Linked DNA regions of Tamandua tetradactyla. The protein of the gene in region 1 purifies or fractionates together with the protein of each later gene. This does not show direct contact. Links are inferred from orthologs where the notes say so. Each region holds a gene or a part of one and is shown in the gene's direction. Other genes may lie near its edges. The genes, in order: SINHCAF, ARID4B, ING2 and SAP30.

What was found.
Region 2: the proteins of SINHCAF (region 1) and ARID4B purify together in Homo sapiens (affinity purification with mass spectrometry; 3 studies listed by BioGRID and IntAct, counting the BioPlex papers as one, with this or other methods). This does not show direct contact. The link is inferred for Tamandua tetradactyla from reciprocal best matches to the Homo sapiens genes SINHCAF and ARID4B.
Region 3: the proteins of SINHCAF (region 1) and ING2 purify together in Homo sapiens (affinity purification with mass spectrometry; 3 studies listed by BioGRID and IntAct, counting the BioPlex papers as one, with this or other methods). This does not show direct contact. The link is inferred for Tamandua tetradactyla from reciprocal best matches to the Homo sapiens genes SINHCAF and ING2.
Region 4: the proteins of SINHCAF (region 1) and SAP30 purify together in Homo sapiens (affinity purification with mass spectrometry; 4 studies listed by BioGRID and IntAct, counting the BioPlex papers as one, with this or other methods). This does not show direct contact. The link is inferred for Tamandua tetradactyla from reciprocal best matches to the Homo sapiens genes SINHCAF and SAP30.

What each region holds. Positions count from the first base shown.
Region 1 is NC_135333.1:94,268,200-94,275,670, reverse strand, and holds the start of SINHCAF (SIN3-HDAC complex-associated factor), read left to right. Parts: upstream 1-4,467; 5' UTR 4,468-5,011; coding exon 5,012-5,027; intron 5,028-5,553; exon of another isoform or gene 5,554-5,662; intron 5,663-7,471. UniProt on the Homo sapiens protein: Subunit of the Sin3 deacetylase complex (Sin3/HDAC), this subunit is important for the repression of genes encoding components of the TGF-beta signaling pathway.
Region 2 is NC_135333.1:5,592,666-5,600,550, reverse strand, and holds the start of ARID4B (AT-rich interactive domain-containing protein 4B), read left to right. Parts: upstream 1-4,867; 5' UTR 4,868-5,043; exon of another isoform or gene 5,044-5,102; intron 5,103-5,154; exon of another isoform or gene 5,155-5,577; intron 5,578-6,458; 5' UTR 6,459-6,507; coding exon of another isoform or gene 6,508-6,513; 5' UTR 6,514-7,885. Other genes in the region: GGPS1 (geranylgeranyl pyrophosphate synthase), read right to left, coding at 1-1. UniProt on the Homo sapiens protein: Acts as a transcriptional repressor. May function in the assembly and/or enzymatic activity of the Sin3A corepressor complex or in mediating interactions between the complex and other regulatory complexes.
Region 3 is NC_135352.1:29,357,284-29,364,608, reverse strand, and holds the start of ING2 (inhibitor of growth protein 2), read left to right. Parts: upstream 1-4,318; 5' UTR 4,319-4,385; coding exon of another isoform or gene 4,386-4,582; 5' UTR 4,583-4,928; coding exon 4,929-5,097; intron 5,098-5,940; exon of another isoform or gene 5,941-6,782; intron 6,783-7,325. Other genes in the region: uncharacterized protein LOC143669889, read right to left, coding at 4,044-4,176, 4,386-4,582. UniProt on the Homo sapiens protein: Seems to be involved in p53/TP53 activation and p53/TP53-dependent apoptotic pathways, probably by enhancing acetylation of p53/TP53. Component of a mSin3A-like corepressor complex, which is probably involved in deacetylation of nucleosomal histones.
Region 4 is NC_135352.1:39,728,274-39,735,908, reverse strand, and holds the start of SAP30 (histone deacetylase complex subunit SAP30), read left to right. Parts: upstream 1-4,629; 5' UTR 4,630-4,937; coding exon 4,938-5,243; intron 5,244-6,398; coding exon 6,399-6,524; intron 6,525-6,883; coding exon 6,884-6,982; intron 6,983-7,635. UniProt on the Homo sapiens protein: Involved in the functional recruitment of the Sin3-histone deacetylase complex (HDAC) to a specific subset of N-CoR corepressor complexes. Capable of transcription repression by N-CoR.

The sequences.
Region 1 (7,471 bases):
AACTCTTTTAAGAATGAGCTTGTGACAATTCTTTAAGTCTTTAAGTTCAGAAATTTGAAAAGTAGTTTTGATTCAGTAATATATACCCTGTTTTCCTGGCAGCTGTCAACGGTTGTTGGAGGATTGGGGTCTCTTAGATTGCATAACCAATTACGTACCTTATAGTGTAAAGTTATCTGATTTGCTCTGACCACTTATTAGAATTTCAAAAGGATTTAAACAAAGAGGTAACAAAATATTGTACTTGTTTTGCTGTGAGAAAAAGAGCTCTTGGTTTAGTCTTATAGCTAGTACCTTTTAAGGAATGAAACCCAATGATTAATAATAACAAACAGGATATCAGACTTCATTTTAAAAGCAATCATTATTAAATACATCACTAAATTGCTGATATTATCCCTCATTACTAAATAAGAATTGTGCTTTTCAGACTTTCATATAATTTTTCCGCCATTTCAAGGATATTATAATAATTGTAAAGTTGCTGGCAGCAATTAAACTCTCAAAAGAAGGCGGTAAATTCTATGGGAAAAAAACAACATACAAGTAGAATTACACAGAAAGAAATTAGAAGAAGTGTGGTGGCTTGAGCTTCTCTAGGGCAAAAGGGTTTCACTGTCATTAAATTTTTACTAAATGAATGGAAATATTCAAGCATTAGAAGTAATTCTACAGTGGGACAATATGTAATAAGCAAGGTAGCTGGTGTGGTTAGAGTATGTGGCTACACAGCTATATTTTCAATTTCAATGTCTTTGAGAACTCATTATGAATTCACAAAGCACTACTTTCATTTAAAAAATACTCAGATATTTTTCTAGCATGGTGAAATTCAATTTATTATAATCCAGTTTATTTACATGGTATAAATTACTTTTCTTTCCATTTTTTTTAAATAACGAAAATTCACTTGGGCTATTTATATAATAGTATTTTTAAGTAACCTATAAATGAACTATTGGCTCTGGATAGGGCCAGCCATAACAGCATGTTCAAGCAACAAAATGAACAAAAGAACCTTTGGAATGCACCTGGTTGTTCAAAAATAGCAGGTGGTTGTTAGAGAAAAAAAAAGATTCTAAAGAATCCAGATTTCTCTTTGAGCTTTGTTTCTGACTTTCATACAAAAATTACCTGAAATACTGCTTGACCTCTTTGAGAGCAGAGGAAGTCTTGCTGTGTGAAATTAGTCCAGTAGTTCAGAACGTCCAGATATTTCTTATCTGAACAGGAATACTACAATTCCTGCAATGCATGCACATTTTGAACCTATTCCATCCTTGGATTACCATATATATTCTTTATATAAATTTCCAAGAGAAAAAGCATTCTAGCTATACTTTTGTTTTTTTCAATTATACATTTTACTTTGGAATCACAAGGCTGTTACTCTAATAGGTCAATTTCTTATAAACATTACAAGTACAGAAAATACCAAATATACACAGACTTCATTGTAATATTCACAAAAATAAAAAAAATGTGAACTCCCTTAAATTAGACAGTTATCTTCCCTCTTAACTGAGATTACCTATGTCCAGAGATTTGTCTTCTGACTGATGTCCAGATTCTTCTCAGAAACCTTGATGTGACGCACACATCTGCAGTTGCTATATCAGCGATGTGGTGACTCCAAGGATTTGAGTTTTATGTTACTTAATTCTTTGGTGTATTCAGAGATGACTACTAGCTCTAATCATGACAATCACTTGTTTGATTTTACATTTCTTTATCTTCTAAGTTTTAAAGAAATATTTCCCTTCTAACCTTAAATAATTTTTCTAAGATATAAAATGTCTTTATATGAAGTTAATGGAAGCTTAGAATCTTCATCTTTCATATTCTTAGTACCTCACATATATAGAAATATCTGATTGATATTGGATACTTCTCATTCTAGCTACACTTTTATATTTATTGTAAGCAGTAACTGAAGTTTAACAATATGATGATGCTTACAATTTTCACATCTTGAAAGGCATATAATAATTTTAAAATATTTTTGGAGGATCTATTATAAACAAATAAATATTTGAGACAACTCAGGACAACTTTCTAAATTCTCTGAAAAACAACATAGAGATTCAAGTTTGGGATTCAATTTGCACCAATGAAAGCCCATAAAGACTTATTAAGGCTATTCAGGATTATGTATTATAAGGACAGGAATGGCGTCATATGAATCAAGGTGATCACCATATTCTCCAATTTCATTATAGGTCAAATACAAAATTATAAACTAAAGTAAAGCTGTTTTAACTTGAAATAGATTTACAATAAATTTAAACCACTGATGTATTATTTGTCAAACAATTATTCAGAATCTGTTATCTACTGTACACTGTTTTAGGCACTTAAAAGTATAAGATATGAAATCCCTGCCTTTAAGGAGTTCACATTTTAGAAAGAGATGCCATCCCCCTTCACGGATATTTAAAAAAGTAGTTTTCATATACAGCCATAGGAATAGCCTGCTACAGAACTTTTTAAAAAAAAAAGCATTAGTTGAAGACTTCAGAAGTCCGCATTGTAAGAATGTACTAGGAACTGGCTGTTGAATTAAATTAGATTTTCAGATGCTTTGTATCTATTTAAATCCACTGTTGACATTAGAGTGAAAACAGAGAAATTTGTCAGCAGATAATTAAGTTTTTTGGCTGTTTTCACACTTTTGTAGCTTGTGGATCTGGGAAAAACATCCTTATCTCTCTTCAACCTCCCTCCATTATCAAACCAAACTGTCTGCCTGCTGGTGCTAGGTATGTCCTCGGGATAAAGGTGTATCGCAACCTTTATTTAAATTTTTTTTCACTTGTCAATTTGAGAAATGCTACTTTTATTTCCCTGAGGCTAGAACTGTTTAGAGTGTTGGTTTATTATAAATTCCACAAGGAAAAGTCCCGCACTTTCTTCGCCACTTTTTCAATTCCCAAGACCAGGTTAGTGGTACTATTTCTGGGTGAGTGGAATACTCTATAAGTAGCTGGAGGAGATATATATGCATGTCCCTAGACTACTGACTAGTCTTTTGAGAAAGGGCACTGTTCCCATGGAAATTAACAACCATTCAGTTAGGACTGGTTTGAAATCTTAAGGCCGAAGTGTTGGGAAAAAAGTTGGATCATGATGGGTAGGGTACTATTTGAGTAGGGCGAGTGAAGTTAAGTGAACGTATAGGGTGTCAAAATAGGACTTTGTTAAACGACTGATTAAAATTGCAGGTACAGTAACATCTGCTGGCCCCGAAGAATTTATTTTTAAGCTACAAAAACTCAAGTTTCAATAAAATTTAGGAGACGGGGAAGAAGAATAAATTCAGTCCGAGTGCTTAACCTCCCCTCATCTCAGGCGAGAAACTGGGTACAGGTGTGAAAATTTGGTAAAAACAGCTTTCGAAAATTTTTTCAACGCGAAATGGTGTGCCTTACGAACTTCAGGGTGGAAAGCATCTCACGCAATCGAATCTACTCCCTTGGTTGCTAACCTTTCCGCCTTTCCCATCCCGGCACTCACTCTCGGCCGCCGCCTCCAGCCAGGGGGCGTTTGTTTATGTGACGTCCGCCGTAGTAAGCAGTCCCCGCCCCCGCTTCCCTCTGGCCGCCGCGTTTCCCGCGCCGCGGCGCTTCTCCCCTTAAAAGGACAATAGAGGCCTCGGGAGCGCGCGCGGCCGCCAGGCCTTTTCCCCTCCCCAGCCCTCGACGCGCTCGTGCCCGCATGCAAATAAGTTCGATTCAAGAGAATCTTGCACCGGGAGCCGCGCGTGCGCAGAGGGAAAGCGGAATCTACACCTTCCCGACCAGCGGTAGCAACTGCAGAACTGCAGGAGACAATCTTTCTAGACAAGGCAGTTGAGGAGGAGGGACTGATCGGAGGGGGGCTGGCCTGGTGTGCACTCCGCACCTCGGGAACGTTATTGCGCGTGGAACGGCTGCTTTTGGAAGGTGAGTGATTCTAAGCATCACTCTGGTGCAAAACTGCTTCATGAGGCTTTGATTTCAGGTTTTTTCTTTTCACCTCACTCACCTCCCTGGTCGTTTCCCTCACCCCCCCCCCCCAACAGGAAGTTTTGTCTTGGAGATGATATTGCTGGAGCGCTGTTTTCGTGTTCTTCAGACGCCACATTCTTTTGTATACACATGTTTAGTTTGTATTTTTAATTTGGGGGATGGGGTATTTGAAGCAGACCGAAAGTCTTGGGGTGGGGGAAGTGAGTGGAGCTTGAAAATAATTGAGGAGTTGCTGGAGTTGAGGGATCCACGCTGAAGGTGACAATGACTTTTCTCAGCTGCAGTGTTCTCTGGCTAAAAGGAACCCCGTGGCTGAAAGGCCCAAGAGAAAAGCGACTTGCTGGCAATTGCCGAGCGACCCTGGGTCCGTGCATCCGCGTGGGCGCGAGCCCCGGTCACGGCCGGACGCCGTTGTTAAATGTTAAACCTCATGGTTCAGTTTATTACAGCCCCTCACGCGTGTTTTGTTTAAGATGGACAGTAAATGCCATTCGCTCGAAAACTAAGTTGTTATCGACTTTACAGCTGGCGGCCCTGAGGGGGTTTAAATCGGCCTTTTTGGGAAAGTGCTGGGATTTGCCCGAGTGCACGCGGCGTGGCGTTGTTTGCTCAACTCCGGAGGGATGCGGATGCGACAATGAGAGCAACACGCGGCCGCTTAAAACAGCCCCAGCTCCCCACGCCTGCCTCCGCGGACCGCGCCCATGGAGCTTTGGTGTCCGAGGCTTCTTTGGAGCCTGAAGTTTTATTAAACCTATTTATTCACCTGTAGCGTCGATGTGGGCGCTATGGTGAGGGTTTTCTAGGGCCACCATCTGCGGTTTAAGATGGCCAGTTGCAGCGAAGTTGACTTGGGGATGGAGGCAGTGGCGTTGTCCGCGCGGAAGGAGTGAGTGAACTCCGAAGGGCATCGCTTTTTTGTATTAAACATGACAGACCACGTGCCGCGACCCGCGTTTTAGGCGGAGGTCTGGCTGAAGGTCCAGCTTCCTGGTAGCCTTGAGATGCAGTCGCTGTCGGGTAGGTCCGATCGGCAAGACAATGTAATTTGCTGGTGATGGCGTCTTGCCAGTTTAAAAAGCAGAGTGAAAGTCGCCAACTATCCGCTTGAGCGGGGAGGGTAATTCGGGCTTTCTTATCAAGGACATTGGAAAAACTTGAATTGAATCGGCCCGCTTCCGAGAAGGACCGGAGGACAGGACTCCTGGCTCTCGGGGTTCGGCGTCCGGACCCTTCCTCTCGGTGATCGCCAAGTGCCTTGCCCCTGAGGAACAATCCGACATCCCCGATGCTGCACGTAGGCAGCGCCCGGCTGGACAGAAAACAAAGGGCTGCATGTGCCCGTGCGAGCCCCGCCGGGACTGAGGGCCGCCCGGCTCGGGGCCCACCCAAGTTCTTGCGAGTTTCGGAGAGGGGTTGGCTTTTGTCCCTCAGCCCCTCGTGGGGAAACTTTGGCTGCGCTACTTGTATGAGGTGCCATGCTGGTGCGCGGGGAGGCGGCGTGCTAACCCGTTCTGAGCGGGCGGGTGGGCGAGGCAGACGGGCGCCTCCGGCGCTTCCTCCCCCGCCCCAGCGCTGGGGGCCGCAGCGGCCGAGAGAGCGTGGCCGGAGTTCTCGGCCCCGTTACCCTTGGGCCGGGAGCCTGCGTCTGGGAGGTCTGTGGATTCGCCTTTGAAGTCGAACTGTTGCCATGTTTGAATTACGTCAGGGCAAAGCCATGAGGAGGAACAAGCCCCGGCAGCGCGGCGTGCGGGAGTCGCGGCCTGCGGGAGGCGCCGGGCCCAGGGGGCGGGCGGGCGGGCGCGCGCGAGGGCCCCGTTGTTCCGGCGCAGGTGAGGGAGGAGGGGAGGACGCGGTTCACCTCCCGCTGCCCTCGCTCTGGCGAGCGGCCCTCGAGAGGAACTTTCTTCTCGACACAAGATGTTTTATTTACCAACAAATTCACCAGGGAGCGTTTGTCTTTGCTGGCTTGGTGTCCCCAGGCCGTCCCCGCCTGTCGGAGGGGGAAAGAACAGTTTGGGGGGGGGACCCGAGGGTCTTGAGAAGACGGGGGAGGAGGCGCTTTGCTGCTTTCGGGGAAACCCGCGAGCACCTCCCCAGCCCCGCCGAGATGTAGCTCGCAAGTCGTGGGGACCCAGTCCCGACGGCACCCGAAAACCACCGTGGGGAAGTTTCGGGGCTCCCGCTGTCGCTAAGAAGGGGAAGTGAGGACTGTGGCCGAATTGTGCGTGCCGTTGTTGTCTTTGTGTGTTTGCGTGTGGGAGGGGGAAGCGGGAGGGGGAAGGATTCTTTTGGTTGGGGGGTTTTTGGTTTCACTTGGGGTGGTAGGGCGGAGCAGTTTGTTCTGGTAACTATGACCCCAGTCGGTTTCTTTGTTTTTATTTTCTCCCTCTGCCGTCTAACCTTCGATTACTCCAGTACTCGATGATTAGGAATTACGACTAAACCAAACGTGGACCCTGTCCAAGGCCGCTGTATTTACCCCGCCCCCCCAACGCTGTCCTAAAGAAGGTTAAGAAAACGCGATTTCCCCCCTTTTTTTAATAATTAAAAAAATCAATATGACCTCGTCATTAAAAGTACACTGAAAGCACCTGTTTTTGCCAGACTTTTGGCAAATCCTTCTGTTAATTTATGTTGCAAAATTGAACATTTGGTTGCCCCGTGTAAATTAAAGACTGAAATTTGGTTCTGGTGAATTTCGAGAAAAACCTCATGGCATTTAAAGAATTTGTATAATGATTCCGGGAAGGGGGATCTTTGCCCTAAAGATATGTCCGACTCAATGTTTAGGCATTATTCGCTGCATTATTTTAGGATGACCTTGAAGAAATGATCACGTAGGGGCTTGGAAGCTGCTTCTGGGGACGACACGGGGTAATGGCTAGCTAACTGTGGTAACTTCTTAGTTCCTGTGAACTGGAGTTGACCCTCTGGTTACCCCTCCTAACTTTTCAAGCTAACTTTTTTTTTGGTATGTAGCCCTAGGCATAGCTCAAAAATTATGCTGGTTTGACACATGGATGCTTTTTTGGTATTTGGGGTTTGCTTGCAGTCTAGACATCCAATAAGCAGCATCGTATTTGCTGTTTCTTTCCTGATTTACTCTTTATTTGAATTATGGTTAAAGATTGAAATCTAAAAGTGGCCATTACTAGAAAATAATGTAGCTCTCCTTAAATGCCGTATACCCCAACACTAAAACACAATCCATACAAGTTGAAATCCATTTTGTGCCTTTTCATGGTTGTCTTAGTAAATAGACACATCTCCCAAGTTTTGGTTGCCCCAGTTAACAAATACCAAAAGGCAACTAATATTAGCACTTACATTTCTGAAGTGGTTAGAAAGAGAACGTGTCAGGAAAATTGAAAACTTTGGATTTTGATAATTTTCTGGCTTTCTTTTGGGCATAGTTATTTCTCCGAGTCATGTATTTAAAATGCTTAAAAAACACCAAACGT
Region 2 (7,885 bases), about 89 Mb from region 1:
TTGTTTTTAAACTTCAAAGCTGACCTTTTAAAAAGGAGAAACATAACCAAATCATCTTTCAGTGTCAAAATGCAAAGGAACATGTATTCTTGAAAAAAGGTATTATTGAAAAAGTAGACTTTCAGTTTGGTTTTAAAAGAAAATTAGAAATGGATGAACCTTGAAAACATAATGCTAAGTGGAAGGAGCCAGGCATATAACATCGTAAATTGCATGATTCTACTTATATGAAATGTTCAGAATAGGCAAATCTATAGAGAAAGAAAGTAGATTAGCAGTTACCTAAAATTAGATTTTGGTGATGGCTGCACACATTATGAATAATGTACCTTTTAAATGAGTGAACTGTATGGCACAAAAATTATATCTCAATTAAAAAAATTCTTCATTCAAGTGATTACATTGTTGTAACGGTACAGCTAGTTTTTAAGTGGTTTCCTTAGGTATATACTTATATTAAGCCTTTCCTATTGTAATCACAGTGAAAAGCTTAAATTGTTTCCATCAAATAAATGCCAACACAAATTCACAGAATTAGGCTATCTCTACATCTCACTGATTACATAAATTAGTAAACACACTTTTTTTTTCAGTCATGACTATTAACATGGATATATGCCTTGTATATTTAAAATTAAAGGGGGAAAAAAACTTGTATTTCTCTACAATCAATTCACTTCAGATATTCTGATTTGAGATATGCATTAACTTGAATGCAGTCATATTTATTAAAAATATCCCCCTGTGGGAAATTATTCTCTAGTGATCCTATTATTCTCTAGCATCACTAGCTCTCTCCTAATCAACTTTCTTAGCCGCACTAAAGATACAATAATACAAGATTAAATGCAATATTGTATCTAATGGCAGTTCATGATTAGAGTTGCAATCACAGAATTTGGAATTGGAAGGTACCTGAAGAGAGTTCTCTCACAATAAGCTAGGCGATAATAAGGCGTAAGGGTATATTTACTTTATTTTTTTGAATAATGGAAACGAAGTTGAATTTATATTTTGACCACTCAAAGGTCTTTTTTCTAATTCACTAAACTTAGGAAGGAACCTTCATTTTTAATTGCACCTTACTTGATTCTGATGGAGTTTCTTAAGAAAGCATATTAGTTACACAACTAAAGGGGTGTGGTGGTGTTTTATTTACTGTAAGATTCAGGGGTGTTCTTCAATTTCTAAATTAGCTGTAGTAACTTCATAATGTTAGTACTAAAACTCATCTTTCACAGCCTAGTCATCTCACACGATGAGCTCTTCATCCACTCTCATAGACTAGGCTATTCCAGTAGTTTCTCCTTACTAGCATCAAATTTAAAAGTATAAAATATACTTAGGGAAGCAGAACTTGTCTAATACCTTAATCCATGAAATATGAGAGTCTTCACATATATTACAGTAAATAAACATTGTTGATTCATACTCATGCCACTAAGCAAATCTGAAAATCTTGAAGTAAACATAGTGACATCTCATTATTGGTAAACTAATATTTTTTTCACCAGCACAATGAAGAACTCAGTAGAGCTGAGTCTACCCTAAGTGGTGAGAATCAGGTATTTAATATTTATTGTGAGCTACTGATTTAAGGGAAAAAGGGTTATGTCACATCAATTTTATCATGTACTTCTTTTTCCACTGGAGTGTAAGATGTGTAACATGTAAACAGAAGAAAAGAATAAAACTACATTTTCTATGTCCTGTTAGGCAGATGGTAGGCATGTGTTCAAGTTGGTTGAATGAATACACACGGATTATCATCAACTAAGTGTTTTGGTGCTTCCATGTAGTATGATGCATCTCATTGGTGAGAGAAAGCTTTTGAGAATCTGATAAAAGCTATGAATTTTAAACAAAAACTAAACAAAAAACCCCAGCTTATAAGTGAATATGCCCTCACCTAGATACATGCAGACCCATAAAATGCTACATATAATTTTTTAGGAATCATATAGGCCCTGAATCCTTTACATGTATCTCAGATTAAAATCCCCAGCTATAGAATAAATATCCTTACTCTTTAATACCAAATAAACAAATATTCATGTTTGTATAATGACAAATTAAAAAATAAATTCTACTGGCTTAACTCTTTATTGGAGGGAGATTACAAATGGACATTAAAGCATGAAAATGGTTAAAGTTCAGGTTACTTTTTGGTACTGAAAAAACTGTATTTTTTATCATCCACTCTATGAGTACCCTTGTGAAACAATCATAAAAAACAGCACTCCAACAATGGAAATCTTTCAGCAATCTGAATGCAAAGATAAACATTTTTGTCGAGAGCAAAAATCATGTCCGTATCTTTGACACAAACTTTGCGACACTTAAAAATCATCAAAGCCAAGTTTCAAGAATGCTCTTTTGTTTGTCTGGTTCAATAAAAGGTACAAAGTGTTGCAAGGAAATGTGAGATAACCTTTGCTTCCATTCTTAGAGCTTTGGCTGATGTTATCTCTCAATTTAAACATTAATTATGAATTAAAAAATATCCCTTTTGCTCAGAGAAATATGAGAATTCCCACTTAGCAACTTAGCCAATTAGTAGTCATTTATTTATCACTGCTAGAGATTTTATATTACACAAAGTAAAGAGGCATTATTAATGTGTTATATGATCTCTACTATTTCAGGGTGAATACCTACAGAATGCCTACATGAGATAGTGTGAAACTACTCCACTTTCAAAACGGAAAAACTACCTTAAATTTGTTCAAAGAGTGGGTCAATAAACAGGAATGCAAATGTACCTTGTCTAGCAGTTAGTACAAACTATGTCATAAGGGAAAAAATTCAGGAAATAATCCAAATTTATTACATGTACTGTTTACCAGCTAACTGCAACTCTGATATAGGTTACCTAATTCTTAGAGATTAAAGAAAGAAAAGAAGATGCAAATTTTCTTAAATAGAATAATTGCCTAGGTAAAACATTATTATTGGACAGAATTGAAGATAGAATAGTAAAAGCATCTCTTACACACGTCTCTAATTATTTAAAAGTTAGTAAAAGTTAGTAGCCATCTCTTCCCAACTAGGTTGAGAGCAAAAATCATGTCTGTATCTTTGACACAAACTTTGTGACACTTAAAAATCATCAAAGCCAAGTTTCAAGAATGCTCTTTTGTTTGTCTGGTTCAATAAAAGGTACAAAGTGTTGCAATGAAATGTGAGATAAACTTTGCTTCCATTCTTAGAGCTTTGGCTGATGTTATCTCTCAATTTAAACATTAATTATGAATAAAAAAATATCCATTTTGCTCAGAGAGATACGAGAATTCCCACTTAGCAACTTAGCCAATTAATAGTTATTTATCACAGCTAGAAATTTTATATTACACAAAGTAAAGAGGCATTATTAATGTGTTATATGATCTCTACTATTTCAGGGTGAATACCTACAGAATGCCTACATGAGATAGTGTGAAACTACTCCACTTTCAAAACGGAAAAACTGCCTTAAATTTGTTCCAAGAGTGGGTCAATAAACAGGAATGCAAACAACAGATTTTCTTTTCCGTGTGGATGGATTATTACCGCAATATCCTCCTTGTCTGGCTTCTCTGCATTCACTCCTGTAATTTATCACTTAACTCTCACTGCTCTTTGCGAAATTTAAATCTGGTTCTATCACCCTTCGGACTGAGAATTCTTCAACGATATTTCACTGCTTTTAGAGTAAGAATAAAACTTGTCAACAAGCCCTGTAAGATTCGGCTCCCCGCTCACCTCTCCAACCTCAATTCTTCATCCTGACACAAGGCTTTCCAACATGCTATCCTACTCCTCCTTAACCTGAAGTCAATCCTCACTTTGTCGGGAAAGCCTTTCCTTACCACCGCGTAACTCTTCAGGGTAGCACCTACCACAGTTGTCATTTTAACCGATTCGTGTGTCTATTTTGTTTAATTTCAGTCTCACTAGACTTGGTTCCTGAGGGGAAGAACCATACTGTTTTTCCCACGTGGTAGGAGCTCAAAAATATGTGAAGGGTTGAATGAATGTAATAGCGGAAGTACCTTCCAACGCAGTACAGAAGTACATCAGAGGAAAACTTTGCGCATAAAAAGTGAAACTATCATGCTAAGTATTTTTTTTTTAATGGAAGGTTCTGGTTTCAAAATTGCTTAGTAGAGACATACAAATGTGATGTGAAGCGTAGATGTGAAGCGCTGAGTGAATCCTTCCATTCAAACTCCGGGGGATCATGCGTCTGAAGAAAACTGTCCTGAGATACAGGGAGGGTAGTTAAATAACTTTGAGGCAGATTTTCAACAAAGGTTTAATAAAGGAAATTCAAATGTTTACTCTGCCTAGCACAGACTCCCAAGTGACCGGGAGGTTTCTGCTTCCTCCTAGGCTCAAATGCCCCTTTCCGCCCCACTTCATCACTTAACCCTCCTCCCGCCCCCTCGACCCTCGCAAACCCGCGGATGGAAAATTAATACACAATCCGGTTCAGCATCCGGGTCCTCACTCTCTTTTCTTTCTTTCCTCTCGGTTCCCCGCCTCCCACCCTTCCCCGCCCTCCTCACCATCCGGGTCCCCCCAGCCACCGCCACTGCCGCTCACAGTTCAACGATGATATCACGACTTCCCCGTTGCCGGTCCGGTAACAGTAGAACTGAGCGTCAACTTCCCACTTTATAGTTCAGACCAAAGCTCCTCCCGGTGACCACATATATCCCTCCCCCTACTTCGCCACAGAATTCTCCGCCCTCCTCGGTGGCCAGCAACACCGCATTACTCGGTGCAAGAAAATGCGCCATCCCGGTCACACTGCGCAGGCGTCGTAGCCGCCTCCCCCCCACTGCTTTGTCGCCCCCGCCCCCTTTCCCCTCCCCCCGCCTTAGGCGGGCGCGGGGCATTGCGGATCTTGTAGTTCTCAACGGCAAGCGGTTTGCGCATTGGCCTCCTAGACTGGACTACATTCCCCGTGAAGCTTTGAGGCATAACTTTCTGTTTCCATAGAACTAGTGGGAAAATGGCGTCTGTGTTTGTATCCGAGGGGCCAATAAGAACAGGATATAGGTGGGTTCCAAAGAATTCTAACCAATCCAAGGTCGTCTAAGAGGCCATCCGGGAACGAGGTAGGGGAGGGGGAAAAATCTAGGGGAGGGGAGAAAGGAGGGAAGGGGGGGTTGGGGGGGTAAGCGATGTTTGCCCGTCAGTCGAGTCCGGAGTGAGGAGCTTGGGTGCCGTAGCGGAGGGAGACTCTCAGCTGAAGCTTGCCGCCGCCACGGCCATCGCCTGGGCCTCTGCCCGGAGGGAGCCTCAGAGGGTCTATCGTTGCCGTCCTCTGGAGGGCAGAGCGTTTGGGGGCCCGGACCTCCAGTCCGGGAGTGATTTTTGTCGTTCCCCCTCCCCCCAACGAGGGAGCCTGAGCGGCCGCCAAACAAAGGTACCAGTCGCCGCCGCGGGAGGAGGAGGAGCCGGAGCCTCAGCTTCAGCAACCGCTGGACCCGCCGTCCTTCTTCCCCCATCTCTCCCCCGGGCCTACTGGTTTTGGGGGAGGAGGGGAGGGGATTCTGGACGTGCCAGGGTCAGATCTGGCCTCCGAGGAAGGTAGGGACATTTTCTGGGTCTTTTGCAGTCCCCTAAGGGAGTCTTTTTGGGAGTCCCTGCGTTTTGCTGTGGAGCAGGGGGTAGATGGCTGTTGTGGTCTCTCCACCGGGCGCCCGAATTCGGGGCCTTGTCCTCCCGGGAGGCCCACCTTCTCCCCTACTGCAGTTTCCGAATGGAGTCCGAATCGCCCCTTGACCGAGCGGTCGCAGACTCAGCGGTTTAGCGGCCCTTGGCCGCGGTGGGGGGCCCAGGCAGGAATTGGGGGGCGCTGCCTAAGGTCCTCGCTGCCACACGGCCTTTCCGTTTTCTCCCGTCCCTGCAGCGTGGGGCCAAGTGTAAATTCTCTCCTACTTCTCAGGGTCTCTGGCCTCGAAACGGGACTTGGACAGAGGCTCTGCGGGGGGAGACGGTCCTGCTTGCAGCCCTTCCGGCCGGTCTGACTCTCTCCTGCGCCCCTGCTGGGTCGATTCCTGGAGACTGGGCCGGGCTGCCGCTTGGACGCGGGGTGCTGCGCGGCGCTTCGGGAGAGGACCAGCTCGGCTGGGCGAGAAAGAGCGGTGGGGAGGGTGACCGATTCCGTGTCGGACTCCGGGCTTGTTGTGAGTTTCTTCTCTGACAGAAATGGCGTCATTGTCGGAGACGGGAAACTCCGTCGGGTCCCGACAATGGGGACCGGGAGCTACCGAGCTGTGTAGTTGGCTGGGTTTGCGGGGATAGGGAGGCCAGAGGAGTCCCCGAATCCTTGTTTAATCGTTAGGGGGCTGACGCCCTCTCCGGCGCTTTAATCGGTGTTCAGAGGTTTCACTGGTTCCTTTCCGCCTCCGCCAGTGAACAGGGGGTGCCTGTGGGGTTGACTGGGTGCTTTTTTGTTTCCACTCCAGGTGCAGGTGAATCTGGTGTTATCGGGGGGCTTGTGGCCCCGGAGTCATCATGAAGGTAAGATTGCCTGCAGAAAACGAACCTCTGGTGTTAGAGAATTCAGAAAGGTAGGGTATTTGACTGAGGTCGTTGTGTGGGGCTTCCCTGAGTTTTGAAGAGAAAGGTGTGTTTGGTGCCGTGGTCCCCGAACTCTTGCCTGGGTAACGATGGGGGTCAACTGGTAGGAAATCTACAGCTCAGGGACTCTGCTGCCAGATAGGATACTCGGGGCCTGTGTCTTTTTGAGTTGGAGTCCGAATATCTCATTGAGCATCACCCTACCATATAGAGCGCTTCATTTTGCCGGTAAAAATAGGAAACTGCATGAATTAAAATGCTTTGAAAGGTAAAACTGAAAGAGCAGATTAAGTAATCTGACTCTAAATGCTGAACTGTGTTGTGGTTCTATCGGTTACATTGATGAAAGAAAATCTCTTATTGTGTGAACAGTATTGTAAATTTTTAGCAGAAAATCTATTTGATTAAACACAAAGATGAGCTTCTTTGGAAGTTTTTTCAAGAAAATTATGGTAATCTTTACACAGTTTAGAGATAGCAGTTCTCTTAATTTCCAGGGATTTAGAGTTATATGGTTTGTTTTTGAATTTTGATCTTTTGGTCTGCAAATTTTCAGCTGCTGTGTTACATTGTGATGTGTGATAAGCTGATGGCCAGGTTTCTCTTAAATTTAAGCATGGCAACTGAATGCAGGATAGTTATCTGAGAGGCCCAATTTGCTTAATGGTATAAGAACACACAGCTTTTTTCAATTTAGAAAATACGTAATTGAATGCTGTTTAGTTTTTTAATGCATTCTGAAGTAAAAAGCTTTAGATATGTGAATTGTCTATATTCAACTGGTGGCACTTAAAGACTAGCATATTCTATATTTTCATCCAGTACAAATTCAGAAGTGCTTGAAAAGTGTGTTCCCTGATAAAGAAATGGAACAGATAGTATAGTATGCTGAAGTGTAAATATCTACTTTTGTCAGTGCCTTTGAACTATTTTAAAAAAACTTTATTCCACTTCTCTTCAAAATCGATACTGCTTTTAAAGTACTGCATCCGGATTAAAATTTGTAATACTTGCTTGTGTTTATGGAAGAAAGTAAAAGCTGTGGCAACTTAAACATTTATCTCCTATACAAGAGTGGGTTTAGTTCATTTTTTTCTAGGCTTTTCTTCTTGAGTTTGGGGCGCTGTAAACTCTTATATGAAATAGTTCTTACCTATGAATTTCCATCTTACTCTTATTTAAATGAAAAAAAAAAAGACAAAACCAAAAAACCAGTAATGTTTCCGAAATGAATCCTTTTCTAGTCACAAACTCTAGCTCTAGGAATACCCTTTGTCTTCCTTACTGTTGTGTTGAATAATATAGAGAGTTC
Region 3 (7,325 bases), on another chromosome or scaffold:
CCAACAAAATCTCATGTCCTATTCAAGGTTCCATGTACTTGTGGTGTTAATTAAGCTATCTACATAAATTATATTAGGAAATGCACTAGTCAAAATATAAATTTTGTACCAAATACACATTTTTTTTTGCTTTAGTCTCACACATAAGTTGAAGTTTTAAAATACTAATTACCGTCTATTTTCAGTACCCTGCAGTAATGACATTCCTTTGTTCTTCCTCATGCAAAACATTTTTAAAATTTGTACATTTAGTCACTATCATTATACACTCTAGGCATTCCTACATTATACCATCTCAATCTTTATCGTCTATCTTTCTTTCTAATTTCATTTGTGCCCCCAGCCCTCCTCCCTTTATCATTCTCACATTCAGCTTCATTCAGTGTTTTAACATAATTATATTCCAGTTAGGTAGTATTGTGCTGTCCATTTCTGCGTTTTTACATTCAGTCCTGTTGCACAATCTGTATCTCTTCAGTTCCAATTACCCAATATCTTATCCTATTTCTATCTCCTGATAGTAGGACCATCTTTTGATGCTAGTAGTCATCCTGTAACCTGAAGTAGCAGAATTGACTGAATTGGCTGTATTCACCAACTTTTGTGTTCTCTACCATATAAACTACAAGTATAGGCTGAAATTGCTCAGATTTATACTATCTAGAGAATCTAGCATTTTCTTAACACTGTCCTTTGGTCTTAAATGATTCCTGGAAAGCAAAATAATTGCTAAAACAGATATTAATCTAATTGTAAATTAGATTAGTAGTAAACTGAGAGGCTGAGAAGAGTTTCTCCAGCTTATAGAGATTTTTATATTTTTAAATTTTATTTCTTTTTTCTACAATTTTTTCTACAATTCCTGTGTTGGACTTATGCAATAAAGCAGGTGAGAGAGAAACTCTGACTGTGTTCGCCATTTGCCCTTCCACCTGAGAGAGACACCCTGAACTTCATTGGCCTTCTTGAACCAAGGAATCTTCCTGGATGGCTTAGATTGAACATTTCTATAGACTTGTTTTAATTGGGACATTTTCTCAGCCTTAGAACCGTAAACTAACACCTTATTAAATCCCCCTTTTAGAAGCCATTCCGTTTCTGGTATATAGCATTCTGGCAGCTAGCAAACTAGAATAGAAGGGCACTGCTATCTGCTTCTCTGAATCACATAGTGAATTAACTACCTCTAATTGGTTTAAAAAAAAAACTTCATTAATCAAATGCAACGTGTAGAACTTACTTGAGTCCTGTTCAACGAACTAAGTACAAGAAAATGGGGAACTCTGAATTATCTGAATACTGATACTAAGAAATTGTTTTAGTTGGCATAACGGTATTGTGATATAGTTTTTAAAATCTCATCTCTGTTTATATTTAAAGCATTTAAAGATAATTCTGGCCATATGTTGGTCACTGTTCAAGCTGGATGCCTAGTATATCAGGATTTACTGTACTAATATTTCTACTTTGATGTTTCGAATTTTCCATAATGAAGAGCTTAATAATATTAAAAGGAGAAAAAAAAGAAAAGGATTTCAAATTTAATTGACCTGACTCAAACAAAAGTTGAATTTTCTCAGAACACATCACAGTAAACATTTGGGGAATCTTTCAGAATTACTTGTTAGTTGTTTTCAGTCAGAGTGTGAAGTTGTTGCTCAGGCCTCTCACAGCATAAATAAGAGCTATATTAGATAGCTTTGGAGGCACACTTTCTACCAGGGACAAACATCTCAAAGGTTAGAGTCTTGGAGGCCAAAGGCTGATTTAAGACTGATTCAGAAATTAAAGTTAATCCCCATACACTTCTACTAACCTGGAAGCATTAGATACTTGTCTTTTTAGAGTTGTTTGTGGGGGAAAATACAATGAAGAGTAAGTTGCCTCTTTGCTTTATTCATAGACTATCTTCTATATTGGAGAATTAGGGATTTTTAAATCTTACATTTAGCAGAGGATAAGGAGACCCATTCTAAAAAGACCCCAAATTTCCAGTTAAGTGACTACAAAGCAGAAAAGAGACATTCATAATTAACCAAAGTGAAGTATGGAATTTGGGGAGTATGGTGATTTTTTTATTCTGTGTAACTACTCTCCCACAAAGGCTCCTTTCAAAAGTACAGCAGGAATAAGCTTTTGATTAACCTTTATAAATATAGCAACAAAGGTACATAACTGAAATAACTCATGCACACAAATATACATATATATTACCATACTAGAGTGTGCCTTAGGTTTAGACCAAAACAATTTGAAAAATAATTAATTTTTGCTTCTTATCAAACTGTACAAATGAATTATGAAAGGAGAAAATAATGCCATAAAAGTTCTCCCAATCCATTCTCAACCTTTCCTCTCAATTTGCTCTAGGTTCCTGGAGGGGTTTCCTGCATTATTGCCTTTTCTCATTTCTAGTTTCTAATAACCCTTTGCCACATCTTCCTGTGACCACCTGCCAGAATGAATAAAATCTCATAGATAAATCTGGTATCTAACTAATAAATAACATGGCATCATGCATTATTTGGGAGCCTTCAAGAAATACTAGCTGATGCAAACTTGTGAACAAATAAAAATATTAGGTGAAGGTAAAAAACGGTAAAATTCAATTCCTACCAACAACTGTGTTTTGGCAAGAGGTGGCTGCTTAATTTGAAAGATTAAAGATGACAACAATAAAATCCCAAGACTGTTTCCAGTCACAGTGGAATGCCTGGATGAAAATTGTGGTAATATTCAAGAGGTCAAAACTTCAAAGTATCACAGGATAATAACATAGAACAATCCCTGGGTCCTTTGCAATATTTCAGTTGTTCCCAAAACGTCAAATTCCCTGGCGTGCTCTGTTCTGGTTTGAAATGTAAGTTTTTCTCTAGACTTCTCTTTGCATTTAGGGACTCTAGCATTTCACGGTTACTTAGTATTAATAGCTGTTTCAAAAGTGCTCGAAAGAAGGGAAGACTTCTCACTGGCTGCATATTTACAAATTTTCATATTCAAACTATGTGAACGTAATTCTTATTCTTGGCACTCAATTCAAACTTTAATCTTAGGACTATGTTGTTTGGAACTGAAAGAAAATAATAATAATAATAATAATAAAGTCCTCTAAATAGGTCATAATACAGTTGTACCACTGGCTGCAAACAAACTGGATATAAGATAATCCAAACTTACCACGCACTAATATTTCCTCAAAGGTACTACTCACAATACGGTTTATTTACATAGGCATTCCATTAAAATTCTCCGTGTATTCGTTCTATTTACACCCATTTCTTTAAAAAAAACACGTTGTTATATACACTGAGAGGACATTCGTACTTAAAATTAGCTCTCTTGCTTGGCACTTTACGCAACAGACACTATACAGAAATTAAACCCGAGTATACCTCCTACATAAGGCTGTGAGCATGATTCCGGAATAATGCTTTCATTCCCATCTCCGTCCCCCCCCCCCCCGCCGTGTTTGTTAGTTCTAGGGTAAAAAGAGACGGGAAGGTGGCGGTGTCCCCTCCCACTCCGCCAGTTTGCCCACGCCGACGTTCAAGGCTTAAACATTCTGAACCCGAAAATGGTTTCTTTTTATTTGTTCTCAAAGGTTGTCTGTTAGACAAAAACTTTTCCAGGGCAGACTCAGTCCAGCATCCCTTCCCCCCAAATTTAAATAGTGGGTTTCTGGAAAAGGGAAGGGACAAAACCTGCAAGGCACCTCGAAGCCGGGAAACCTCTAGCGTCTGAGGAAGGGCGGAAGCACGCCCTCTAAGGGAGATTTAAAAATCGCGCGGACGTAAAGAAAACGCAGGGGGCCGAGGGGGGCACCGCCTACCTCCCTGCTAGCCCGGGTTGCTCCTTGAGCCCGAGGGCCACGGAGGGAGGAAGAGGGAACCGTGAGGTAACCGCTGAGGCAACCGCTGAGGCGGCAGCACCGCGACTGGCAACCGAGCGGCGGGCTACGGCGACGGCGGCGGCTGAGGCACAGCCACAGCGCATGCCGGGAGCCGCACCCCGCTGCACGCTGGGTCGCGTAGTTCCCACAGGCCTCACTCCAGGGCGTAGCGAAAAGCGACCGCCTGCTGTTCCTTATAAGGCTCCAGAGGGGCAGCGCTAGATCCACCTAATGGCAAGAAAGTCGGTAGCACCGAGTCGAATGAGTTGGGCCAAGTTTCCCTCTTCCTGTGGGAAGGACAGAAGAAAGAAGTCAGCCACTTTCCCTTTCAGGTTCCATTCAGACATTGGGCGAAGAGCCGGGCTTGACAGTGCTTCCCCTTTAAGAGGGGGCGGGGCGCAGCTTGCCGTTTGGCCGTCCTCCGCACCCTCCCCCCAAGCCTAGAGTTGACAGACCAATCGCCCGAGTGGCGGAGGGAAGGCGGGAGAATGCGAACCCTTCGGTAGGGCGGTAGGGGCGGACCCCGGCCTTATTAGGAGTGAGTCCTGCGCAGGCGCAGAGGCGGCCGCAGGAGGAGGGGCGGGAGCAGTCCAGTGAGAGACTCTCCGACAGGCACGGAGGGTGATTGGGAGAAAAGGGGGCAGCGAGAGGCTTGTCATGGGGATCCGAGCTACGAGGCGGCATCGGTAGCATCTGGAGACTCGGAGGGAAACAGGAAGTGTCAACGCCTGGGACCCCGGCGCCAGCTCCGCTGGGGGGATCCCCGCTGCTCCAGTCCTGGGGAGGGAGGGGTGAAAGGAGGAGGCACTGACCTCGCCCCGCCCCTGGATTTGTTACCGCGGGGGCGGGGAGTGAGGGCTTCTCTTTGGGGGAGTGAAGATCGGGGGACTCGGCTGTGCCCTCCTGAGTGGCTGCCGGTGTCCCCGCGGTGCCGGGCTGCTGAGCACAGGAGCCGCGGCGTCCGTGGCTGTTGCAAGTGTGGTTGCTGGATGCGGAGGCGGCGGCGGCGGCGGCGGCGAGGAGCAGCAGCGGCGGCAGGATGTTAGGGCAGCAGCAGCAACTGTACTCGTCCGCCGCGCTTCTGACCGGGGAGCGGAGCCGGCTCCTCACCTGCTACGTGCAGGACTACCTCGAGTGTGTGGAGTCGCTGCCTCACGACATGCAGAGGAACGTGTCTGTTCTGCGAGAGCTGGATAACAAATATCAAGGTAGGGAATCACGGGGCTGCTCGTGGGGGTCCTCCCCCGCCAACCGGGATCCGCTGGCCTCCGCGAGCGAGCTCTTGGAGGCTGCCCACTTTTCCCTTCTCTTGTGACAGTCTCCTCGAGTGCACAGATGGAGTCTGGTGTATGGGACGGGGGAGAGGGACTGGAGACCGTGTTCGTGGCCCTCCCTTCCCCCGCTGCGATCGGCAAGGTCTTCTGTGGGGTCTCTAGGCGGGGGGCTGCCGCTTGTCAGCACCCACTGCACACCCAGCGGCTGCAGCTGCTGTGGAAGGGAATCAGCCATTTTAAGCAGCAAGCATTTGTCCTGACGCTTGTTCGCCCCGTGCCGCAGACCCGCCTGCCCCGCGAGGGAGTCTAGGCAGAGGCGGCCAGTCGCCGCCGGGCTCCCGCTGGTCTCCGGGGCCTGGCTTTCCCCACCCTCCTCGGGCCCCCACCCCCTGAGAGCAGATGCATTGGAACGTGCGGGGGGGGAGGGGGCGAGAGAGGGCCGTGAAGGCGGACTCCAGTGAGGTCCCTCCCGCCGCTCTTTGGCTCCCGGCTCCGGGTTTGAGGAGTCGCTCCCTTCTCCCCGTCCCTGAGAAAGTTCCGGGCCGCAGCCTTTTCCTAGCTCCTACGGACGAGTGGTTAAAAGGGGAGGGGTCCCCCGTGGGGAAAGGAAGAGGGGTGTGTGTGTGTGGCGAGGAGGGCCCCCAGTCCCTGGAGGCGGGGCTTGGGCGTGACGTAGGTGTGGGAGGGGCGCGGACGCGCGCGTTCCCGCCGGCCTCGAAAATGGCTGGTTGTGGGAGGGTTGGGAGAGAGCTGCTGTTAGGGAGGGGGTCGGGGCAATGTGGGACATTAGTTCAGCCCTAGCAGTCAATGTTGGTGTTATTTTTCGATTCTTCTTTCCAACTACTGAATCACAGCGGGGGCACAATCAACTGCTGCGACCGTAGCTAGCCCTGGCCACCGCGTTGATTCTGGGCCTTGCGTCACTTCCGGGCCCAGGAGGAAGCGGGTTGGTTGACTGGGCAACCGCCTGGCGTCCCTTCACCCCTGGGTGTCTCCTGCGCTAAGTTTATGGGATGAGACGAAAACCGCCCTTTGTGGTCGACACAAGAAGCTAGGACCAGAGAATTAGACTTTCTCACTCAGAGTATCGTTTTTTCTTCCACTATTGGTTGATATTTTTGCCTGCTCCTAGGAGGGAAGCAGTTTAAAAGGGGAGTCGTTATGCACTTAATTTAACCCTGAATCAAGTAACAGGCAGTGGACATTATGTGGAAACAGCCATAACGACTTTCAGCATAACGTATTGCATGCTTTCTGTGTTTTTCTAGACACATCACTAATCCTATGATTTAGTCTCTAAGCGTCACGCCTCTACGGTGACATTTCCTGGCTTGTGGCATGTTAGAACATTCAGGTGTCTCCATGTTTTATTTCTGCCTTCTGAGCCCATGTTGTCGCTAGGACTAGTCTTTGTTAGTGGGGAAAGGAATTAATACTGACCGTTTAAAATCTGCCAGTCACCGCCCCAAGTCCAGAACATCTCATTTATCGTTGCAATGACTCTATGAAGAAAAATGGAAGTTTTCTCGTTTTACATTTGATAAAACTAACAAGATGTTTAAGTAACCTGCCCAGGTAATTAGGTGGGGAATATTTGACCCCAGAACCTGCTCCTTCAGGTGTGTCTTTGTTTTTTAAGCTATTTAAACTTTTTTTCACTCTTTATATAAAAGCATTCGAAGGGCTACAAGCATGGAACATATACAGGATTGGTAGCCTGAAAATAGTAGCTTAAAAACATATGTATTTAAGAATTGTGTATTGAACATTTTTAGTTTTTCCAATAATAATAAGCCTGTAGTTTGTTAAGCTTGCAGATTTTTACATTTCTTTAAAGGTACATGTTTGTCTTCATAAAAGTTGTTTTCTGTTCATTTGAAGTTGGGAAGGATACTATAATTCACTAACACGAAATGGGCATTCTTGACCATCTAAAATTATCATATGTATCTCTGGTAACATAAAAAATTGTAGTAGACCTTGCAAGATTGACAGATTATAATAATCGTCAACTCCGTTGAAATTGTTCATGCAAGTGACTAATTTCAAGATTAATGTAAAAACAACAATCCAATTTTTACTCCATGTACATGCTTACTAAGCTCATCTTTCACAGTTTTGTTTACTAAAGTTGTGTACTTTTGTGCTCTTTGTTCATATTA
Region 4 (7,635 bases), on another chromosome or scaffold:
TGGGTTTCAGAGCTTATCTGGTATTGGAACAATCCAGAGTATCTAAGTCTCTGAAAAACGAACTTAATAAGTAAAACTTTTATAGAGCCCAGGGTATCCTTTAAAGTTTCCAGGAATATTGTTGGTTGGAGCTTGCTATACTGTGGTAGTTTGCAATATCTGGCTGAAACGTCCATAGGAGTAACCTCCAGAATGACTTCTCACAACTCAATTTGAAATCTCTTAAGTCACAGAGACTTTATTTCTTTACCTCCTTTTGGTGAACCCATCCCATGATGCCATGGCCAGGCTCATCCCCTGGGAGTCATGTTCTGTGTTGCCAGGGCCAGGCTTATCCCTGAGTGTCATGTCCCACATTGCCAGGGAGACTTACACCCCTGGAATTCATGTCTCACGTCTGGGGTGGGGGGGAGGGGCAGTGGTCAGAATTTGGCTGAGGAAGAGGGACATTTGAGCTACACAAGAGATTTTCTGCTGATGACTCTTAGACATTAATTATAAGTAGGCTCAGCTTTGCCATTACAGAAATAAGTTTCATAAGGGTAAAAAAAAACCAAGGCTTTTCTGGGGTACATAATGGTTTCAAACCAGCACAAGTAACATATAAAAAAATGAAATTACACCTCTATCTTCCACCAACACACAAAAAATCCATCATAATGCTAAATGGGAATGGCAAAACAGTGAAGCATTTAGAATATACTGTTGGAAAATATCTTCATGACTTTGAATAAGGAATTATTTAAGTCACAAAAATCATCAGCCCTATATAAAAAGGTATAATTTTTTCAACATTAAAACAAAGACTTATTTAACTGAAAGTTGTCACTATAGAGTCAAAAAGCAAGCTATAGAGTAGGAAAAGACATTTGAAATATGTAAAATTGGCAAAGGGCTCATTAAGGATATATAAAGTACTAATACAAATTGACAGAAATAGATGCACACCCAATAGATAAAATAGACAGAAAATCTGAATAGAAACTTCCTGAAGAAAACCATATGGGCTACTATGAGGCAGTTTAATATGAGGTGAATGGATTAGGCTTCAGAGTCCCTCACTTGGACAAGCCATTCAAAAGGCCTAATTTTATATTTATAATTTTACATGCTTTTTCAAATTGTACAAACTTGAGGCCCTCAAACACCTGATTCCAGTCTTAACCGTGAATTACACTTAAAGCAAGGAGTTCTTACCTGTCCTGCATATGGAAATCTGTAAAAATAAATAATGAACTATGGTTATGTAAATTTCTTTGAACAAATAGACTCACTGAAGATGTACTTTAAATCTGGCAATGTCACCAACTCCTGGAATCCTTTCTACTTGCCGGAGATTAATCATTCCCTCCTGTGTGCTACATCTATATTTCTCTAGTTTTATTGAGGCATTTAGCATGCTTTTTTGAAATGTGCTTGTTAAGCAGCCTGCCTCCCAGCAAGCTCCAAAATAGCTATGAACCTCTCTCAATTATTTTATTCCCAGGGCCTAGGAAAGATCATAGTATGCAATAAATATTAAATTGGATCTTTTTATTTTTGCTTTTTTAAAACTTATTTTTTATTGATATATATTCACATACCACGTAATCATCCAACGTGTACAATGGTTCACAATATCATCATATACCTGTGCGTTTATCATCACATTCGATTTTTTGTGTGTGAAAAATAACATATATATATATATATATATATATATATATATATATATATAAGCAATAGATTTCAAAGCACATCATAACAATTAGTTATTGAACAGATTTCAGAGTTTAGTATGGGTTACAATTCCACATTTTTAGGTTTTTACTACTAGCTGCTCCAAGACACTGGAGACACTGGAGATTAAAAGAAATATCAATGATTCAGCAATCACACTCATTTGTTAAACCTTACCTTGTCTGTGTAACTCCACCATCCCTTTGATCTTTCTCCCACTCTTTAGGGGTATTTGGGCTATGCCCATTCTAACTTGTTCATGTTGGAAGGGGCTGTTGGTAATATGGGATGGGGGATAAAACCAGTTGATGTTCTGGAGAGGCTGGCCCCTCTGCTTTTCAGGACTTTTCTGGTCCAGGGACCATCTGGAGGTTGTAGGTTTCTGGAAAGTTACCCTAGTGCACAGAACCTTTGTAGAATCTTATATTACACTCTAGGGGTTCTTTAGGATTGACAGGAATAGTTTTGGTTGGGGGTTGGCAAGCTATGATAAGTAGCAATGTCTAACTGAAGCGTGTGTAAGAGTGACCACCGGAGTAGCCTCTCAACTATTTGAAGTCTCTCAGCCACTGATACCTTATTTGCTGCACTTCTTTTCCCCTTTTTGGTCAGGATGGCGTTGTTGATCCCAAGGTGCCAGGGCCAGGCTCATCCTTAAGAGTCATCTCCTATGCTGTGAGGGAGACTTTCACCCCTGAATGTCATGTAATTGGATCTCTTTTAAAACACTTTATTTTGGGTAAAGGAGGCAAAGCCACAATTCTTCACTGAATGTTTTATATAATTGATACATAACTAAACACAGATAAGTGAATTAATTTAGTCGAATTTTGAAGGAAAGGGATAGGCGCAAGAACCAAACAGTAACAAATAAAAATACAAAGATAAATTTGAAAATTCAACATTCCACTATCATGCTTTCTTCAGATTTTTTTTTTCATAAATAAAAACTTACAAATACAGCAGAAACCAGTTTTAAGCCATTCACTTGGCCTGCCTCCCAAGAGGTGACCAACACCCTGAAGTTGGGGTGTGTCCATCCTACATATGTTCTCATTTTTACCATTTAAGAAAATATATCCATAAATAACATCCAGCATGATTGTTTTTACTCTAAGACAGCGTTCTCTAATAAAAATATGCGAGCCACAAACGTAATTTTAAATTTTCTAGCAGCCACATTAAAAAACATGTAAAATTAATTTTAATATTTCATTTAACCCAGTAAACCCAAAATATCATTTCAACATAGAATCAATATAAAAAAGGTATTTATAAGCTGTTCAACATTTTTTTGGTACTAAGTTTTGAAATACCATCTGCAACTTGTACTTAGAGCACATCTCAATTCCGATGCTAAATTTAGATTTCATAAAACTTGAGTTGAACAAAGATTCAAATAGTCAAGTTGTCACAAACATATTTAAGTTTTTTCCCAAAAGTGAATCGAGTTAAAAAATAATTATAAAACTATTGCAGTCGCAGTAAGGACATTTCAAGTGCTCAGTACCCGCACAGGGCTGGCGGCCACCCCATCGGACAGTACAGCTTAAAAAGACAACATATCGTACTTCGCATGCATCTATCTACATTTTACCTGCTCAACTTATTTAATATTTTAATTTTGTTTTTTCCTTTGCCAGATCCTAGAACTAGATGCACAGGTGGAAACGATGGCTTTGAATTTCAGCGCAGATGGCATTTTACACTTTATTTTTTAATGGTCTCTCACTAAATTTACAAGAACATTCCAAAAACCTACTAGCCAAAATACAGTATTTCTATTCGAACATTAGAACTGTTTAACAATGAGACTGTTTATGTACTGATTTTTAAAAACGATGAGCTGTTTAAGTTATTGCAAAGCTGAAGCTTTCCTATTAGGAAAAGCTTTCCTATTAGGAAGCTCCCCATCCTTCTGCTCCGCCCCGCAGAAGCACACGCGACACGCGCACAGGCACACGCGGTCACTCCGCACCGCAGGCGCACAGGCACACTCGGGCACACAGGCACACGCGGTCACTCCGCACCGTAGGCGCACAGGCACACTCGGGCTCACAGGCACACGCGGTCACTCCGCACCGCAGGCGCACAGGCACAGACGGTCACTCCCGCACCGCAGTCGCACGCGCGACCCAGCAAGCGCGGCTCCACTTCGCCCCGCTGGCGGAGCCGGGTGCCGCGCCTCGAGCGCACAGCTGGCCTGGCCCAGGTGACAGCTCCACGCCTCCCGGGAAAAGGTACTGGACTCCGCCTCTCGCCACAGCCCCGGGAGGAGACTGCGCGCCCGGGAACGGAGCGCGTTCCCTGCAGGAACAGGCAAAGGTGTGGAAACGGTGCTCGGCTGCGGCGTTTGCGAGGACACCTGCTAGGGTCAAAGGTCGGGTGGGTGCGCTCCACGGGGCGCTTCAGCGCGCGAACAGACGGGGCTGCCATCCAGTCGGGGTGTGAGCTGCGGGACTTCCACGCCGCTCGAGCTTTTGGTTTGGGTTTCCAACAAAAGCGTGGTCACACCATAAACTCTTTTTCCACAGCGACCAGAGAGGCACCTAAAGCGTTCGTTCACACACTCTACCCACTTCCTCTCCTCCTTTCTTTCTTTGTCTGAAGAGTCGGTTGCCGCTTGGTCTGAATACACCAAGTCTGCGAAATTCCAGGAGCTAACCACAACTTAACTTCTTAGAGACTACAGAAGAGCAAACACCATCATTCCCAGCCACACCATCCTGCGAGCCCCGGCCGGTACTGAAAAGAGAGGAAAAGTCAGTGGGCTTCCTAGACCGACCCCTCGCCGCGCGATGCATGCTAGGATAGGTAGTTTTCCAACCTTCCGGGCTCAGGCTGACCCTGCACAGAGAACTACAATTCCCGGGGTGCATTGCGGCAGACGGGAAGGGCGGCACGGTGTTTATCACACTACGCTTGCGCGATCCGAGGGCCGACGAGAGGCGGGGAGAGGTGGAGGCGCCGCGGTCTAACTATTCAAGAGTCTCTAGGTGACAGTGAGCGCCGTCGCCACTGCGCACCCCTCGGGCTCTGGGTCCAGACCCTGGGCACCGTCCACTGCCGCGGAGCAGCACACGTCGGCACGGTGCCGCCACCGGACTCGGGGTGCGGACGGCATCGCTGCCGCGTGGCAGGTGCCTGAGGGACCCGGCCGCGACCCCAGTGTCGCGGAGGCGCAGCGGCCAGGCGAGCGCGGATTCTGCCGGCGGGACATGAACGGCTTCACGCCTGAGGAGATGAGCCGCGGCGGGGACGCGGCCGCCGCAGTGGCCGCCGTAGTGGCCGCCGCCGCCTCGGCCGGGAGCGGAGCCGGGGCGGGCGCCGGGGCAGAGGTGTCCGGAGCGGGGGCCGTCTCGGCGGCAGGTCCCCCGGGCGCGGCCGGGCCGGGCCCCGGGCAGCTGTGCTGTCTGCGGGAGGACGGCGAGCGGTGCGGCCGGGCGGCGGGCAACGCCAGCTTCAGCAAGAGGATCCAGAAGAGCATCTCCCAGAAGAAGGTGAAGATCGAGCTGGACAAGAGCGTAAGTGCCGGCCGGACGGCCTTGCCGCCTCCGCGGGGCTCCGGGATCCGGGCAAAGACGGGGGGCAGGACCCGCCCCGGACCTGCTGCCGTGCGGGCCCGTGCTGGGGTCCCTGGTGAGACGCGCACCGCCAGGTCGCCGCAACTCGGACGCCCGCCCCCTCCGCGGCCTCCTCCCCCTTCCTCCCGGTCGTGGGACGCGGAACAAAGGGAGCCGCTCGGAGGGCGAGGAGGGGACTCCCGGGGCCCGTCCGCGGGTCTGGGTGGAGGCGCCTTTGTGCTGTCCGAGCCGGCGCGCTGGGCCCCGGACCTCGCACCCCGCGGGCGGGGCGGTGCTTCCCGGGCCCGGTCGGGTTCTCCCGGGCCAGCCCCGCCTTGTAGGGCGCGGGCTGGGAGCGGCGTCGGCCCTAGGGCGGCGCGTGGCCGTGCGGCTCCGCTGCGCCGGTCGCCCGCGGGCAGCCCTCCCGCCGGCCCCTCTCCCAGGCGCGGGCCGCAGCCGCGGCCCCTCTTCCGAGCTCGGGCTGGCCGCGGTGAATGTGATGTCAGGACGTAGCGCGCGGCCTTCCTGTTTTTGAACTTGCGTTTAGGTCGGAAATAAATTTTAAAGTGCATTTTCTTTAACGGGTCAACCTATGAATCCCTGTGTTTCATATTTGTTACTCCAACTCTCGAGATTATGTCATTAAAAGTTTTTGAAAAGTTAATTTGCGATACTTCTCACATGTTTAAGCAGTTCTTTAGTCGTGTTAGATAATTTTTTAGGTGAACTTGGATAATTTCAGATTGTTTCCATTGGCAAAACGTGTTACAGATAAAGACATTCATTTAAAACTCAGAAGAAACCTCTGAGTTTTGATGACAAAACCCAGAGGGTTGGGCTTTCTCTTTCTCCTCTCCCCTCCCTCCTTTCCCCACGGGCGCCCCCCGCCCTTCCCCCTCCATCCTGTTAACCGGATTACCAATTTTGTCGGACCTGGTATGTTTTAATAGGATGAGTGCGGGAATAAGAATGGAAACAGGCTGTATTCTTGACAATGCCCTGTTTTGACTGTTGTGTTTATTTTTAATAGTTCACCGTGACCCATGTATTTCAGTAATAGATAGACACTACATTTTGTCGTAATCATAAGCAGCCTGTAAAACTTTTCTGTTTCAGGCAAGGCATCTCTACATTTGCGATTATCATAAAAACTTAATTCAGAGTGTTCGAAACAGAAGAAAGAGAAAAGGGAGTGATGACGATGGAGGTGATTCACCTGTTCAAGATATTGATACCCCAGAGGTAGATGAACATTTTTATATGTTAAATGTGTATCCTAAATAATTCATTCTTAAACTTTTATAGAAAAGATTTGAGCACATTTTTAAAGTGGTTAAAGAATTTGAGAAATCTGAAAATGAAAGCAAAATTAAATACAGCCAGTTAACATACAGTTACACAGTGTGACTTGTTATATTTCAGTTGACAATTATTGCATCTCTATTGTCTTATAATTTTTTTTGTGCCCCAGTTTTTAATGTATTTATCCCCGAAAGTGTTTAATACATTTATAGGTGTTTTGATAATGGAATTACATTAGACGTACCAGTGATATTTCAGTAGTTTGAATGAACTAATTTATATACCTTACTTCTTTCTAGGTCGATTTATACCAATTACAAGTAAATACACTTAGGAGATACAAAAGACACTTCAAGCTACCAACCAGACCAGGACTTAACAAAGCACAGCTTGTTGAGGTATATGAATTTTTAACTATTTAGACTTTAAGTGAGCCTGTTCCCACCAATTATATGCTAATGAACTAGTTAACATAATAATTAACATAGTGATATAACAATACATCACTTTTTTGTAATGACTACTCAGTGAACTGTGTGCGATTTTCTTTGCTTCTTCTAATACTGGCTTTAAGAAATACTGAATGTTAATTTTCTGTCCTCATTCTAAAATTTGTTAGTTTTAAAGTTCCATTCACTCAGTGAACATTTATTGAGCACCTGATCAAGGCATAATAAAATAAATTAATAAGCTCTAATGTCTTTGTCAGTATTTGTTTTGGGGGGTTTCTGGTGACATATGTTTATAGAAGAACCCCATACAGTATGCACATAAGTTGCTGATTTAACTGTTTCAGAATTTGTCTTTGTTGATGTTAGTTTGCTTTGGTTGAGACATCCATGTTTTCTTTATATCTTGAAGAGGCAAAGATTAAACCCTTTTTACTTTATGCAAGTTTTTTTATACAGGGTTTTACTAACAGTTTGTCTTGATATAGGACTTTTATTGGATTTAGTCCTTTAATGAGTTTTGAAAAGTTGACTGAGTGTGTGCATTCTCGGGAAATAATAGAACCAAGAAATCTGTGCATTATATTAAGATGTTTATAGAT